Linked DNA regions of Danio rerio. The protein of the gene in region 2 interacts with the protein of the main gene of each other region in a pairwise test. Links are inferred from orthologs where the notes say so. Each region holds a gene or a part of one and is shown on either strand. Other genes may lie near its edges.

Region 1 (8,977 bases), on a different chromosome or scaffold from region 2:
TGTGCATAGTCAAACCTCTGTTTTACGCTCACATGAAACATCAATACATCAAGACAGTCATTTAAGATAGCTTGAAGAAATACATTTAGTCATTACTATATGTACTTAGTCATTACTATATATACAAAGCAAACTTTGCTTTTGAAGTTTCAACCATTAACCATCTATATCCTGGACTTACTTCAACCTCCTAGGCTTCGTTATCCCTAACCACCTTCTTAGTCCTTAATCTGACCAAGTTACCAAAGTTAGGATTATAGAATGAGCCAAAACACAACTCATTTGAATAGATTTTCCCTTCAGCGGTCCGAGCCCCTCACTCTTTAAAAACATTTTTTGAGAAGTTACATCTGGTGACCTCAATAGCAATAAGATGTTCCAGAGTGAATCTCACATCTACTTCCTGCTCAGTTGGACTTGTGTTCACCATTTTTGGCCCAGCCTCGAGTCATGGCTGACACCACAATGCTGTACATGGTGAGCCAGGCCTGGCGCAGAGATGTTGTGTAGGCTGGTCCCAAACTGGACTGTAGCATATAGAGCAAGGACTCTCCAACCAACTGATGAAAACGTGAAAGAATCAAATCAATCACCTGATAGTCTGAAAATTCACTGTGACACAACTGTCAATCTCATTGTCATCTTTGACATTTGAGAGTTACAGCTGCAATATGCAATTTCCATCATCACAGATGACTAGCTAATGATGACTGGAACTTGCAAGCAAAGTGTACTCACAGCGAAGGACTGCGTATTCACTCCAACTGCTTGGTGCTTCCTTCCCAGGTTCAACAAGAAGTCCTCCAGTGTGTGTAGGTCATCAAGATGGCTCACAGCTGCATCAATCACTAACATCACCTGGACAGATATACAACCACTTGAGCTGAGATGAACATATTTATCTGGGATTGCACTTGGGCCAAAGTTAGTCAAGTAAAAGAAACTTATTTGACTACACTAGAGGGGTTATTTCCTGGAAAATCATCTTCCTGTAGAGGTGCCCAATCCTGTTCCTGGAGATCTACCTTCCCACAGAGTTCAGTTGCAACATTGATCAAACACACCTGTCTTTAATTACCAAGTGCTCCTTCAGATCCAACTTAGTTGGTTTAATTTTGTTTGATCAGATTTGGAGCTAAACTCTGCAGGAAGGCACTGTAGGTCTCCAGGAGAAGGATTGGGCACGCCTGTTGTAGAGCAAGGCTGTCAAACTTACTTACAGAGGGGTTACAGTGCTGATATATTCAGCTTGTTCCATAGTTAAATCCGTGTGATCCAGCAATTTAAGTCCTTCAGGAGGAAGGTATACCTCCTTTAAGAAGTATTTTTGCTTTAACCTTCAACCAAATCCATTAAGACATTTGCTTGTGCTAGTATGACTTGAGTAATCCTATGAAATCAGATTCTGTTCCAGGTTTGTTGAGCTCTGCAGAAAGGGTTTCTCCACTTAGGAGAGGTATGAGACACACTTGTCCTAAAAAAAAACTATGTCACTGTCTAGCAGAAGTAGGTATGTTTGGTCCTAGAGCAGGCGTGACCAAGCCTGTTCCTTGCGATCGACCTTCCTGCAGATTTCAGTTGCAACCCATATCAAACACACCTGCCTGTAATTATCAAGTGCTGTTCAGGTCCTAATTAATTGGTTCAGGTGTGTTTGATCAGGGTTTAAGCTGAACTTTGCAGGAAGGTCGATCTCCAGGAGCAGGGTTGATCACCACTGTCCTAGAGAAACACAGCCCTGTAGAGTTCCAGACAATCTTAATTAACCACACCTGAACAAGCTAATAAAGCAAGCAGGTGAGTTTTTATATTTAAGTTGGATCTAAACGCAACAGGAGTGTAACATTGTGGTACTGTACATTTACATAACTCTGCTCTATGGCAGCAGTTCGCAATCCTGGTCTTTGCAATAACACTCTCTGCACATTTTGCAGGTTTCTCTTGTTCAACAAACGTTATTTAGCTCATTAGAAGAGAGCTCTATGAAGAAATTGTGTTCCAATTGACGTTCTACATAGTTTTCCCTGCTCTAGCCCCCTGGCCCCTGCTCACAGGAAACTGGCTGATGTTTTCTACATTTAAAAACAAAGATTTGCACAACAGTGTTTGCAGCATCTTCAGATGAACTCATTAGTGTTAAGGGTAGTTAGTGTAACTGTAATTATTAGTCATTTCCTAAGAACTTTAATACCTTTGAATTAAAAATTCTTCTTTTAATCTGGAATCAAAAATATCCTGCAAAAAACATGTGATGTCCTCCACTTTTTAGGGCAATAACTATTGTCCTCCACTTTTCAGGGCAATAACTATTGTCCTCCACTTTCCAGGGCAATAACTAACATTTGAACTACAATGGAATATTTTGGGTTACCCAAAGAACCTTTCGTTTTGTTTTTTCTTAGTCTAAGGACCATTTTAATAATATGAAAAACCTTTTTACACTAAAGTATAGAATAATTTAGGCATGACACTTGCCCCTGAGCACTGAACCATCAACTTACCAATTTGACCCATTTACTCAATTAAATCAAGATTGCTACACCTTATGCTAAATGTTTGGTATGTAATGCTACCTGTTTCCTAATTTTAAGACTGCAAAGAACGATGTGGTCTCTTTGAGACCGGATTTTCTTGGCAACCTTGGAAGGACACAAAACACAGAGGCATCTCTGTGAGAATTAAAATGTGCTGATATTATTGATTGCTGTTGCTCAACAAGTTCTGCAGGTTTTCTCCATGCCTTATATTCATTCATTTATTCATTTTCTTTTCGGCTTAGTCCCTTTATTAATCTAGGGTCGCCACAGCAAAATGAACTGCCAATTTATCCAGCACATGTTTTACGCACCCTTCCAGCTGCAACCCATCTTTGGGAAACATCCATACACACTCATTCACACTCATACACTACGGGCATTTTAGCTAACCCAATTCACCTGTACCACATGTTTTTGGACTGTGGGGGAAACTGGAGCACCTGGAGGAAACCCACGCGAACGCTGGGAGAACAGAAACGCCAACTGACCCAGCCAAGGCTCACACCAGTAACCTTCTTGCTGTGTGGCGACAGCACTACCTACTGGGCCACCGCATCGCCCCATCTCTTATAATAAACTAAATTAGTAGTTCCACAAGGCATCACATTTGTGAGCTTGCAGCAAGAATCTACCCCTGGATTTCTAAATAATTATCTTAAATCAGCATTTAATGCATCCTCCATGCTAAGAACCCATCTAGGTACTGCCATGTATTCTTGATACCTGGTTTCTCTTAGTCATGGGATCTAACTTTTGCAGTAGTTGATAATGTAGAACAAGAAGAACACGAGCAGGCAAGATTTCATTAGAACACATACTGAGAATCGCCCCAAAAGTAGTTACGTTTGACCTCAGGGCTCACCTTGGTGACGTGCTCGAGGAACTCTGGGCTGGAGAGACATTCAGGTGCATCGCCACAATTTGTGCTGTAGCTGAAGAGAGTGAGTAGTGCAGGATCCAGCTCAAATAACCTATCAAGAAATGTTACACAAACCAGTCACAGGCCTGGATCTTGGTTATGGTTATTTCCTGTTTCTATAACATGAAGAAAAACGAAATGGTGCGATATGAGACATTTAGCCTTGAAAAGAACACTGAACTGTGTGCATCCCTTTTCTTCTGTAGCTATCAAGTTTTGAAAGAAAATCCTTTTCATCCTTCCCCGCGAGTTTGAAGAGGAATACTTGGTAGCATCCTTCCTCTGAGAAGGTGATTCTGATGAAAATGCTCTTGCTGCTCCCTGTCGCCAAGCAACAAGTCAAGCCTCTCACTGAGCTGCGGTTAGATGAACAGACAGCGGGAGACTGATAGGGAATGTTTGATGGATTAAAAAAGCTTACGCTGTACTTTGCTTGCCAATTTGCTACACCTTCATGACAAGTAAACTTATTGAGTTATGAAATGCAATGCAATTTGACTGCCTATTACTGTTTGTAATATTTCCTTTATTTGCACGAAATGTCATTGTTTTAAGAATGCATTACTTGTATGAAATTAGAATTTTTGACAAATGTCCCAATCTCAATCAAATCTAATTAATCAAATGCTCTGAAGATGTACACTGCATAACTTTCTGAATAAACACGCAGGCTGATTTGAATGACATTATCCTGAATGCGAAAGAGTTTAACAGTGCATGCAGCGTGATGGATACAGTACCTCGTGAACAAAACGATTCCATGTGGCACCTTGTTCTTCCCCAGACTCTCCCAGCTGTCCCGGATGAGACCCTTATCTTTTTCAGACAGCTTCTCCATTGTGACCCTTAGAATTGCTGTGATCCCAGTTGTCTTTCAATGGTGTCGCTTCAAAATGTTTTCTTCAGTTCAAAGTAGGATCTCCCGAATTCCCATTTCCGGACTTCAGACTTCCAGAGTTCGGGCTTCAGGTTTGACCCCCCTGTGTAGGGCACAAATTTGCAGATATAATTCGGCAAACAAGTCTTATCAGAAGAGCGTGCATCAGAAAGCCTTTTAAATACATTTCATTGACAATTGAAGTCATGCATTCAACATTCAATAGAGAAGAAACCTAACTTAGCTCTGACTTTATACTCACAACAAACAGTGTGAAGCTGACGTACCTTGCCTTCACTGCTCTAGAGGTGACCTTCTTCTCTCACTGGCTTCGTCTGTCTTTCTCTGGCATTAGGATTTCTGTTTGTTCACTGCGAATATGTATATGTCAAGCCTGCAATCCTTGTGTTTGCTCTCTCTCTCTCTCTCTCTCTTTCTTTCTTTGTCTCACTCTCTCTCTCTCTCTCTCTCTCTCTCTTTTCCTCTTTGCTCCCCCCGCTCTCTCACACACACATGCAAACACTCACTTTCTCTCTCTTTATCTCTCCCTCTATCTGCTCCCTCTCCCCGCTCTGCTGCATGCAACCTCATAGATGCTGCTTGATGTGCATTCAAACTAAGATGAAGAAACGTGTTCTGCAACCTTCTGAAAGCAAAAGACGTGCGCATATTTCAGTACACTTTGTCTTTTTTCAATCCACCACATTGAAACTGTCCTAAATGGCTCATATGGACTGTCGATAAGGACAGAATGGAAATATCTCTGATCTCCACTGCTCCTAATGTAGTTCATGTTACGAGCCATAGCTCCTCCTACAGGTGAGAGTCTGGCCTTTAATAAAATTACAACACTTTCAGACACTCCAGATGCATTTATGATTGAAGAGCACATTTGAGGAGAACTAATTTGAAGAAAATATTGTGTACTGGAGTGAAAGATGTTCATTTTCAAACTAACAAGAATTGCATAATGTTTTTGTGAGCAAAATGTGAAATTTTTTTAATTCACTATTCTTGGTGCTTTGAAACAACTCCAATGTTTAAATTAAGATTCAATTTGTCAATAGGAAATAATTATGAAGATTTTTAGGAGCTACAAAAATAAGTAATTTTTTTATTAAATATGGACAAATCCAACTTTAACTCAATGGTTGTGTTTGTGCATATTCTATTAAAAATAACAATGAAACAACCCAGTTTTTTTTTTTTTTTTTTTTTTTTTTTTTACAAAACCATTGGAGCACTGGTGTGTTATGTAACTCAAAGCATTCATTTTGAATGAACCTTCAATAAGACTCTGGAATCTTTTCAGGGAGTGATTCGTTCATCTACCAATTCGCACATTTGTGCAGGTGGTATAGTTCATTTCAAATCTTTTGAGTCGTTCATCGCGGAAAGGCAAAAGCCAATCATATGTGTTTAGAGCCAGAAAAAGAATTGATCCATTCATCTATCGAGTCTTCTATCGGGTCTGAGTCATTAGTTTCTCACAGGCCAATCATATGCATTTAGAGCCAAAAAAAGAATTAATCCGTTCAACTCTCGAGTCCTCGGGATTGAGTCATTCTGTCACGTGATGAACGAACAACTCAAGAACCAGAAGATTCGAAAGGTGAACTAATTATCATGGCTCCTATCGGCTCAGACTGTGCACATTGGTTAAGATTATATGTGACTGTCAGTGTAACGTGAACGAACCACTGACATTTCAAGACATGAAGAGGTGAGCTAAGCAAACAGACAACAATACCTTCATAATAATAATTATTCCCTACATTTATATAGCGCTTTTCTGGCCACTCAAAGCGCTTTACACAATGGGTGGGGGATCTCCTCATCCACCACCAGTGTGCAGCATCCACCTGGATGACGCGACGGCAGCCATTATGTGCCAGACCTGATTGGTGGAGAGGAGGAAAGAGGAGAGAGAGTGATGATATGCCAATGACAGATTTAGCCAGAATGCCGGGGTTAAACCTACTCTTTATCTAAGGACATCCTGGGTTTTTTAATGACCACAGAGAGTCGGGACCTCGGTTTAACGTCTCATCCGAAAGACGGCGCTCACTGAGCAGTACAGAGTACCCGTCACTATACTGGAGCATTAGGATCCACACAGACCACAGGTTTAGCGCCCCCTGCTGGCCTCACTTACACTACTTCCGGCAGCAACCTAGCTTTCCCATGTGGTCTCCCATCCAGGTACTGACTGGGCGCAGCCCTGCTTAGCTTCAGTGGGCGACCATGTGAGAGTTGCCGAGAGCTAGCTGCCGGCATAGACAAAAAAAAATAAATAAAAAAATTTAAAAATAGACAAAAGAGCAGGTAAACATTGAATTATTATTTTCTTCTTCTTACAGTATTCTATTTATGACTTATTTGACGTGTGATCAACGTTTTAGGCTAGTTGTAGATGTGTTTGGAAGCAATTCATAACATTTTAATAATATTTTGGCAAATTGAACCAAATGAACAAAATGACTCGAAAAAAAGATTTGATCATCTCGATAACCGAGACTCAAAGATCCAAGTCAGTAAAATTATCCGAACTTCCCATCACTAATGTCTTGCGAGTGTTTGAGGTCAGTAATTTCTTATGTAAAGAAATTACATTTATATTACGTTAGAATTTTAGGTAACAATTTATAATAACTACACACTATAAATCATTTATTAAGCATTAGCAAATAGTGAATTCATTATTTGTTAACCATTAACATACATTAATAAGTGTTAGTAAGCAGTTTATAACTGCAGCTACAAATGCTCCATTCTTGACTTATTAGCACCTATATAATGTGGTTAATAATTGTATTTTCATACTCTGTTAATGATTTACTTTTCATTACTAAATTAAGTATCGAATTATTTACAAACCGTTTGTATTTAAGAGTAGTTGAGGGTTTTCAGGATCATTCAGAATGAGTTAGTAAATGATTAATACACTATTGAAATCAACATTTATATGTCGTATTATTCAGGCATATACTAATAGTTAACTAATATGTTAATAAATGCTTTATTAACTCAACTTCATGCAGTTTTGTGACCTAATCTAAAATGAGGACTATTGATGCTTTATAAATCCCTTATAAATGACAAATAAAGGCTCAGAATCAAATGAACGATAATCTGTGCAATTTTTCTAAAAAGTAAAATTACAGTATAGTTTAAACAATGCAAAATAACAGGAGTGTCAAAATATGACATCCATCTGGATAAAACAACAACAATGAAATAATTTAACATTATAATAAGATGCAATGTTTAAACTCTACAGTGATTCTATTTTTCATTTGAAGAGCAGTTTTATTTGTGTATCTTTAAATGAATAATGTCTTTTTTTCTTGTTTAGAATTTAACTGAGCCTTTATTTGTTTTATTTCGGCTAGAATAAAAGCAATTTTTATTTTTTTAAACACCATTTAAGGACAAAATTATTAGCCTCTTTAAGCTATTTTTTTTTCTCGATAATCTACAGAACCAACCATCGTTATACAATAACTTATCTAATTACCCTAACCTGTCTAGTTAACCTAATTAACCTAGTTAAGCCTTTAAATGTCACTTTAAGCTGTTAAGAAGTGTCTTGAAAAATATCTAGAAAAATATTATTTACTGTCATCATGTCAAAGATAAAATAAATCAGTTTTTATAAATAAGTTATTAAAACTATTATGTTTAGAAATGTGTTGAAAAAATATTCGCTCCGTCAAACAGAAATTGGGGAAAAAATAAACAAGCAGTCTAATAATTCAGGGGGCTAATAATTCTGACTTCATCCCACTTCACTTACACTGGGACATTGGTACAGAAAGAAAAAAACTGATCAGATGATGTTAGTGACCTACCCGGATTATAAACAGTTGAAGTCAGAATTACTAGCCCCCCTTTTAATTTTTTTTTTCTTTTTCAAATATTTCCCAAATGATGTTTAACAGAGCAAGGACATTTTCACAGTATGTCTGATAATATTTTTTCTTCTGGAGAAAGTCTTATTTGTTTTAATTTGGCTAGAATAAAAGCAGTTTTAAATTTTTTATATTATATTATTAGCCTCTTTATATATATATATATATATATATATATATATATATATATATATATATATATATATATATATATATATATATATATATAATTAATTTTTTTTTTATTGTCTACAGAACAAACCATCGTTATACAATAACTTGCCTAATTACCCTAACTTGCCTAATTAACCTCATTAGCCTAGCTAAATATCACTTTAAGCAAGAAGTAACTTGAAAAATATCTAGTGAAATATTATTTACTGTCAACATAGCAAAGATAAATTAAATCAGTTATTAAAAATGAGTTATTAAAACTATCATGTTGTGAAATGTGTGGAAGAAAACCTTCTCTCCGTTAAACAAAAATTGGGGGAAAAAATAAAGAGGGGGGGCTTATAATTCTGATCTTAACTGTACATGTAGGAGATTTGATAAATAAGATGGTGTTAGACCATTAAAGGATTTATAAACAAAAATGAATCATTTAAAATCAATTCGTGACCTGACAGGCAGCCAGCCCAGAGAGGAACAAACTGTGGATATGTGTTCATTCTCAAGAGTCGCTGTCAGAAGTCTAGTAGCTGCATTTTGGACTAATTGCAGTCTATTCAAG
Region 2 (8,435 bases):
TGTGTGTGTGTGCGTGTGTGCGTGTGTGTGTCTGCAGATGGCGCTGTTTCTCTTCATTTAATTCATTTAACTTCATTTCACTTCAGCAAGACATAAACACACACGTGCCTTAAGCTAAACCCTTTGTGATTTAACAGCTACAGCACAGAGATGCCAGCGCAACTGAATGTTTCCTTTAAAACCCAACATTTATTAAACAGAAATACCATTTAAAATAAGTTATAGAACGACAAATATTTTCTAAAATACAATATTATATACAAAAATAAATTGACTAATGTGCGTGTGTGCATGTGTGTGTATAATAACTTAATTAAATAATTGGTAACAATAATAATAATAAAAAACACATTATTGCATTGAATTTTAAATTGCAAACATCTTTCCAAAGACATCCAGTTTTTATTTATCCTTTTATGAAGTGACCAAAAAGGACCACACTTATTTTTTCTCTGATTACACATGTTCATTTTTCAAGAGTGAGATTATCAGCCATTTCCTTTATCCACTGTGCAAGAACCGATCTTTGGATGTTTTTCCCATTAGTTATACAGTTGTACGCAAAGGTTTACATACACTGGATAAAAAGGCACATAACCATTTAAAAAAGTCAGATGTTTAATGTGACTAGAGTTTTTCTCTTTTAGGTAAGTAAGGATGATCACATTTGTGTCTGTTCTGCTTAATAGCAGAATAATGAGAGAGAGATTGTTTGAGAAATTGTTATAACTCTTGTTGAAAGTCAAGTTTATAGCAATCAGATTATTCTGCCTCTGGAAAAGCTCAGATGATGATGTCAGGGTTTTGGACGTTTCTGATTTGCTAATTGACAACATTTGAGTTCATGTGAGGCACAGCTGTAGAATAGTATTGAAGGAAAAGCTCAAACACACTGCTTCCTTGTGTGACAACATGGAGAATCAACAAGCCAGAATCAACACAAAAGCCGGATTACAATTTGCTGAATTACACTGGGAATAGACTCATGTTTGGAGACATGTCCTGTGCTCTGATGGAGCTAAGATTGAACTGTTTGGGCATAATGAGCAGTGTTACATTTGGAGGACAAAGGGGAAATCAACAAGCCTAGAAACACCATCCCAACTGTGAAGTATGGGGGCGGCAGCATCATGTTGTGGGGCTGTTTTGCTGCAGGAGGGACTGGTCCACTTCACAGCATAGATGGCATCATGAAGAAAGAACATTATGGAGAAATACTGAAGCAACATCTCAAGACATCAGCCAGGACATTAAAACTTGACCACAAATGAGTCTTCCCAACAGACCATGACCCTCAGCATACTGCCAAATTAGTTCATATGTGCTTTAAGAACTACAGAGTGAATGTTTTGGAGTGGCCATCACAAAGCCCTGATCACAATCCTATAGAAAATGTGTGGGCAGAGTTGAAAAAGCTTGTGCGAGCAAGACAACCTACAAATCTGACTCGGTTACACCAATTCTGTCAGGAGGAATGGGCCAAAATTCCAGCAAACTATTGTGAGAAGCTTGTGGAAGGAGACAAAACATTTGACCAAAGTTATACAGTTTAAAAGCAAAGCTAAAAAAAATACCAAGGAAATGTGTGTAAACTTTAGACTGTCTAGAAATTAATAGAAAATTCTCAGAAAGAAAAAATTATCTTATTATTCTGGCATTTAGCAAATGTAAATAATTCAGGTAATCCTTACAGATCTAAAATAGTAAACGTTTAGTATGATTTACCATCAGACATCTTTTAAAATGGTTATGTTCCTTTTTTTAGAGTGTGTGTAAACTGCTGGTTTCAACTGTATGTAGAGTTAAAGTCCACATAAACCTGAAGCTGTGACGCAGTTTCTGGAGAAACTGTATATAAAAATGAGTAAACAGTGGGTGTGGCTTGTTTTTTCTACTGCAAGCTGATTGGCTGTAGTAAAGTAGGCGTTTCATTCAGAAAGACTGGAAAAAGGGTTTGGGGAGAGTTATTACAGCTTACAGACTCCTCCTGTTCACCATTTCTGTGTGTTGTCTAAACTGACCGCTGGAGGGGCGTGGTTATGTATGTTAGCCCCGCCCAACACCTCAGACAGACCTAATCTGAGAATTTAACTAACAACAAACAGGAAGTGCATTAAAGACTCCAAGAGCAATCTGTTGTTTTCTTTCTTATTGACATGCACAGATGAATTGTTCACCACTAAACTAGCAGTGTGAGCTAACAGAATCATTATGGTTGCTTTTAGATTTCATGTACTTTAATATAGTGTGTGTTTGTGTGTGTCCTCCAGACGGTGACTCCATCAGGTTTCAGGGTTGGCATGAAGCTGGAGGCCGTCTGCAGGAAAGATCCTACTTTCATCTGCGTCGCCACGGTTACGGACATGGTGGACAGCCGCTTCCTGGTGCACTTTGACAACTGGGAGGAAAGTTACGACTACTGGTAAATTCCCCATGACGACGCTCTGAAGTGTGTGATAATGACATTTCCTGCACACAATCACACTCAAATGATTTGCTGTCCTGTGATTTATTTTTTTATTTTTTTTATTTTTCAATTATAAGTCAAAAGCTCAGTGTGTTTAATAATACATGTATCAAGAATGCTTAAAGCCTTACTTTATGCTGCATGACATAGATATTGATTGTTGTTTTGCTAGTTGTATTGAGGTACATGTGTGTGTTTCTTCTTTTGTGCAGGTGTGATGCCACCAGTCCTTATATTCACCCAGTTGGCTGGTGTCAGGAGAACGGCAGGACCCTCAGCACCCCTCCAGGTCAGTAAACACATCCACACCAGTCTCAGGCTCTCTAATATTCAGTTAAAGTCAAAAATACTACCCTCATTTGATTTCTTTTTCAAATATTTCCCAAAAGATGTGTAACAGATTCAGGAATTTTTCACAGTATTTCCTATAATACTTTTTCTTCTGGCGATAGTCTTATTAGTTTTATTTTTATCAGTTTTAAATTTATTAAAAAAACATTTTAAGGTCAATATTAATAGTCCCCTTAATCAATATTTGTTTTGTCTTAGACAAACCACTGTTTGCCTAATTAACTTTAATTAACTTTTAACTTTGAGGGCCCTATCATGCACCCGGCGCAATGTGGCACAAGGCACAACGCAATAGTTGTTTGCTAGTTTCAGCTTGGCGCAAGAGTCGTTTTGACATTTTGCACCACGCTGTTTAAATAGCAAATGCATTTGCGCTCATACGTGCGCCCATAGGCGTTCCGGTCTAATAAAGGAGGTGTGTTTAGATGCATTGCTGGCGTGTTGCTATTTTAAGGAACTATAATAGACTGCACAATATACCAGATCAAAGCAGGTCTATAGTCCAGCGCAGAGCGTGTTAGTTGTGCGCCTCTCTTAAACATTGCTTAATACAGACATGATGTACAGCAATACGCAAATATCTTTACATATGAAAAAGAGTTAAAGGATTAAAATATTACAAAACATATTATTTTCTAGCCTACATAAATATAAAAATCACTGCCTTCATGCTTTCTTCATCTCAGGCGGCTTTTTCAGTTTATTCATGACAATTTGCTTTTGTATAATGTTATTATTATTAGCAGTATTATTTATTATATGCATATTTATATTTGTTTTTAATAAAAAAACAAGCTTAGATTTGTCCACCTGTCAGGTTTTAGACCATATGGGGCTCAGCATGTGTATTAGGACATAACTCAGGTTTTTGAACACACTTCGTTGTTATTGTTCATTTATTCATTTGCTGGAAATTAGAACTGAATTTAGAAACAGTTTTGAAACTAATCTTTGCGCTTAACAAACAAAATTAATTATGTAAAGGCTAATGGATGTCTGCGTACAACACCTTTCCCTATTCACTAAAGTGAATGTGAAAGTAAATAATGAGGAGGCTCATCTCTTATTCTCCCCTGCAGATGCTCTGTTTAACTGTTTTCTCGCCATTGAAGCGTTCAGTTTACAAAGTCTGCCATGTAAATACCAAATGCGCTTATGCCGCGACCCAACTGACTCTTTAAAGGGGATGGGAGATGAGACTATGGTTCATTCTCATAAAATACACCTATAACTCATTAAGAAAATAAGCTTAACCCTGTTAGACCATGCGCCATGGCGCAAAGCGGATTTTCCCATACTTTAAATAGCAAAAGTGGATTCGGACACGCCCTTAATGCCTTTGCGCCCTGCGCTTTGGACTTTGTGCATGGACTTTCAAAATAGAGCCCTAGATGTCACTTTAAGCTGTATAGAAGTGTCTTGAAGAATATCCAGTCAAATATTATGTGCTGTCATCATGGCAAAGATCAAATAAATCAGTTATTAGAGATGAGTTATTAAAACTATTATGATTAGAAATGTGTTGACAAAATCTGCTCTCCGTTGAACAGAAATTGGGGAAAAAAATAAACACGGGGGCTAATAATTCTCACTTCAACTGTATGCCGTATTTTTCGTGTGTGTATGTGAGTAAAATACATGTACGGTACCTGATATGACTTATTATTGAATCAAATTTTGTGAATCATAATTAATTCGAACAGACAGAACTGAAGAGTGTGTATTTAAGAGGTTAGCTGCGTCCAACATCGCACACTTCCATACTATATTCATTCATTCATTCATTCATTTTCTTGTCGGCTTATTAGTTTTTCCCTTTATTAATCCGGGGTCGCCACAGCGGAATGGACCACCAACTTATCCAGCAAGTTTTTACACAGCGGATGCCCTTCCAGCCGCAACCCATCTCTGGGAAACATCCACACACACATTCACACACACACTCATACACTACAGACTAACATAGCCTACCCAATTGACCTGTACCGCATGTGTTTGGACTGTGGGGGAAACCCACGCGAAGGCAGGGAGAACATGCAAACTCCTCACAGAAACGCCAACTGAGCTGAGGTTCGAACCAGCAACCCAATGACCTTCTTGCTGTGAGGCGACAGCACTACCTACTGCGCCACTGCCTCGCCCATACCCATACTATATAGTATGCTGAAACAGTATGTGAGCCGAGTAGTATGTCTGGATTCATAGAATTGGAAAAACAGTATCTGAGAAGTTCCTGTATGACCTACTGCTTCCGGCGCATCGGGTGCACTCTATTCCATGATGCACCATGAAAGAATTCATGAATGGGAGTGAAGTGATGCAACTGGTCACGTGATCATGTTAAAATGCTGGATGTAGAACGTCCGAGCTCAATTCATACAACTGACATTCATCCAGTGTAGAATGTACTTTTGTAGCAGCCGAGTAGTGCATTTACATTCAAATGCAGAACCCACTGAGTTGTGGGTGATTTCAGACGCAACCTTCGAAAATCGAGATCAAAAATGGATCAAATCTTGTGAACTGTATTGAATTGTGAACTTTGTGTCAATGTCCAGCTTAACAATGGACCTTAATAACCAGTGAGATATACCATCATAATTATTTGAATTGACAGAAATGAAGAGTGCATATTTAATAAATTCATCTCCACCAGCTCCTGAATGTGTGTGTGATCTGTGCTGTAGGATACCCCGATGCGAACAACTTCTCCTGGGAGAAATACTTGGCCGAGACCAGCTCATTACCAGCTCCTGCTCGAGCCTTCAAAGTGGTGAGTGTGTGTTTGGCCAAACATTTCCAGCCACACAATGCCGCGACACATGATTGAAGAAATATTTTCCATGCCACAAGAAGTGTTTGTCATTCGTCTGCAACGGTGATGCACAAAAGTTTTATTTTAGAAACGATTATTATTTCTGTGAAGTTGCGACACAACAACCGCATAAACTACTGCGAGAGTGACAACCTCAGGTACTGATTATGGGCTTTATTCACTGTTAAATCAAATCCTGTCTGTAGACTGATTTCACGCGGCCGCCATTTTCAAAAGTGAAATCGAGGCTGTGGTGGGAAGAAACCGGGAAGTATCATTGGGAGTTACATAGGAATGTTGTGTAACTGGCTATATAGCTTATCAGCGAAGAGAAAGTGACACAATTTTATCATTTCACCGCCTTCCGGGTGACCCGGAGGTGAATATAATAAGGGATATCAGAGGTCATTTTCAGCTAAGTTAAGGGAAATGGCACTAGTTAGCTAATGTTTTCTTTCCCAAACACACGTTTTAGATGCTATTTATCAAACTCGAGTTAATAAACTGATTCTTTCATTATATTAGACTTATTACGATACTGAATAAAAGAAAAAAACATAAATTTCCCGCGAACATAAAGGCACTGTTGATGGCTTTCTTAAAACAGTGCTGATTTGCCATTGTGGTCAAGTGTTCAACAGAAATGATTGTGATTGGCCGAGAGATCATCAGTTCACCACTGTTTACCGAGCACAGACACAACACAGACAGAGGATTGGAGCGATCTGCTTGTTGATTCGACTAAACTTCAAGGCAAGGCTGCTTCGCGCTTTAGTCTCCGTGTATCTGTGTTTGCACTGGGTGAAGAGCAGTAAGCGGGAAATAGCCGGGTTTAAAACTTCAGTACCTGGGGTCCGTTCTTCGTACGTGGATTATTCAGTTAGCTGGATTTGGATATTGACGATTTGACAAGATCCAGGATCGTTTCGTTCTTCAAAGCTGATCCGAGAGTTGTTGTCATAGCAACAGTTCTGCTAGCTTAAACTTGATCGGGAGCAGGTTCAATTCATATAAACAGGATTAGATCGGCTCAGTTCAAGCAAAGATAATACAGAAAGTATGTTCTGAATTCTGATATTTTCTTACAGTAGTAGTTATATACACTTGGGAAAATGGTACATATTTTTAACTATATATATAAAGTTATAGTTATTAATAAAATAAATAAAGTTAAATATATTAATAAAACTTATGCAATCTGCACCCCGAAATGAAAGTACATAGACTGCCACCTGGTGGTGCAAAGAGAAAACTTATTGATATGAACTTTTTAGATCGCTTTAGTACAAATTGTGTATAATAGAAATGCAATATGTCACTTTTTTTAAAGCAATAATACATTTATGCAGTCATAAACATGCTTTGATAGTTAATATGCCAGTGATTTGATGCGTCACAAAAGTTGCAGACGCCTTTACCAATATCAAAATGCTTTTGTAAACAACACGTTATTCTTTACACCGATTAAAAAAAACAACTACTATAATAAAGAAAATCTTTTCTAAATGTCGAATTAAATACATTGATATGCATTAAAATACATGATGAATACTCTTGACACATGAAAGTGTAAGGCCTGCAGCTCACAACAAATGTGGAAGGTTATCGCGTGTCATATTTAACAAGCCGTTTACTGCTAATTTGATGTAATTTTGCTCACATGGATAATTGAATATTAATCAGATGATGTCATTACGCTGCTGTGCCGTCAGCCAATCGTTGCATTGCTGATCATGATTTCGAGGATCGATAGATCTGTCCTTCACAACACACGCAGCGATCTCAGATCAGTTTATCCAGACATTCTAATCTGATTCGCAAACTTGTTTGAAGAACCAAATTAGCGAGAGATCAGTTATCAAGATTAAAAGATCCAGGATCTGCCAAATAATCTTAGATCATTTAAGCGAGGTACGAAGAACGGACCCCAGGACAACACTATTACAGACAGCACGAGGAGGTGCTGCAGAGGACTGCAGTGTTTTATCGCTCACCGGGTTACATAGACTGAAGCAGGAAACCTCACAGTGTTTTAACTGGTGCCATGAACTGAAGCCCAGGAGGACACTTAAGCACATCACTGAGATTGTGATGTTGTTTGATGCTAAATTGCTTTTAATTGTTTAAAATAAACTTACTGAATAATATTAAAGTGATGGTTACATCATTTCTGCATTTTGAAATCTCGGCAACAGCTGGAGGTTTATAGTACACGGCATGTTACTGCAATGTTTACAGTGCTGGTCCTATACTTCCGGGTTTCTTCCCACCGCAGCCTCGCTTTGGTTCTTTAAAATGGCGGCCGCGTGAAATAAGCGTATAGCTGTGTTTACATCCAAAGATGCAAATTAAATGTATGCATGAAACTTTAATATCGCATGAAAGATTTGCGAATAAAACAGTGATTCCATCCAATGAGAAACACGAGAGAAGAAAATCATCACTTGCTGATAAACTGCAGCAAATATGAGTCTGGGAAATGTAGTTGAGAGTGTTTGCAGAAGCCACTGTGGTGTATTTTCTTCTCTAATAAATGAGTTGCGCCTCAGAAGATGAATACAAAACACAATGAACGCAATGTGGTGCTTTTGGAGGTGTGAGACGCTCTTTGGGAGCACAGACTGATGCTCAAGACAGTTCTGGAGGGAATAATAATAGAGTAATAATAATGCTGAAGCTCTGTGATGATGGACTGACGGCTGAGGCCTTTTAGAAATCAGCAAAACCACATTTCCGTTGGTGACATGGTGAAGGGGAGGCATGAACATGTTTCTTACTTTCTTTCTCTCTGCAGAAACCTCC

Evidence for each region.
Region 1: the proteins of l3mbtl3 (region 2) and ngb interact in binary tests that used the Homo sapiens proteins (3 or more experiments, as listed by UniProt). The two-hybrid records come from large-scale screens. The link is inferred for Danio rerio from reciprocal best matches to the Homo sapiens genes L3MBTL3 and NGB.

The regions. Positions count from the first base shown.
Region 1 is NC_133192.1:49,950,908-49,959,884, forward strand, and holds the start of ngb (neuroglobin), read right to left. Parts: upstream 4,674-8,977; 5' UTR 4,621-4,673; exon of another isoform or gene 4,596-4,620; intron 4,437-4,595; 5' UTR 4,295-4,436; coding exon 4,197-4,294; intron 3,509-4,196; coding exon 3,400-3,508; intron 859-3,399; coding exon 739-858; intron 561-738; coding exon 408-560; 3' UTR 1-407. UniProt on the Homo sapiens protein: Monomeric globin with a bis-histidyl six-coordinate heme-iron atom through which it can bind dioxygen, carbon monoxide and nitric oxide.
Region 2 is NC_133195.1:2,234,400-2,242,834, forward strand, and holds part of l3mbtl3 (lethal(3)malignant brain tumor-like protein 3), read left to right. Parts: intron 1-647; exon of another isoform or gene 648-1,523; intron 1,524-2,270; coding exon 2,271-2,422; intron 2,423-2,679; coding exon 2,680-2,756; intron 2,757-5,505; coding exon 5,506-5,591; intron 5,592-8,427; coding exon 8,428-8,435. UniProt on the Homo sapiens protein: Is a negative regulator of Notch target genes expression, required for RBPJ-mediated transcriptional repression. It recruits KDM1A to Notch-responsive elements and promotes KDM1A-mediated H3K4me demethylation.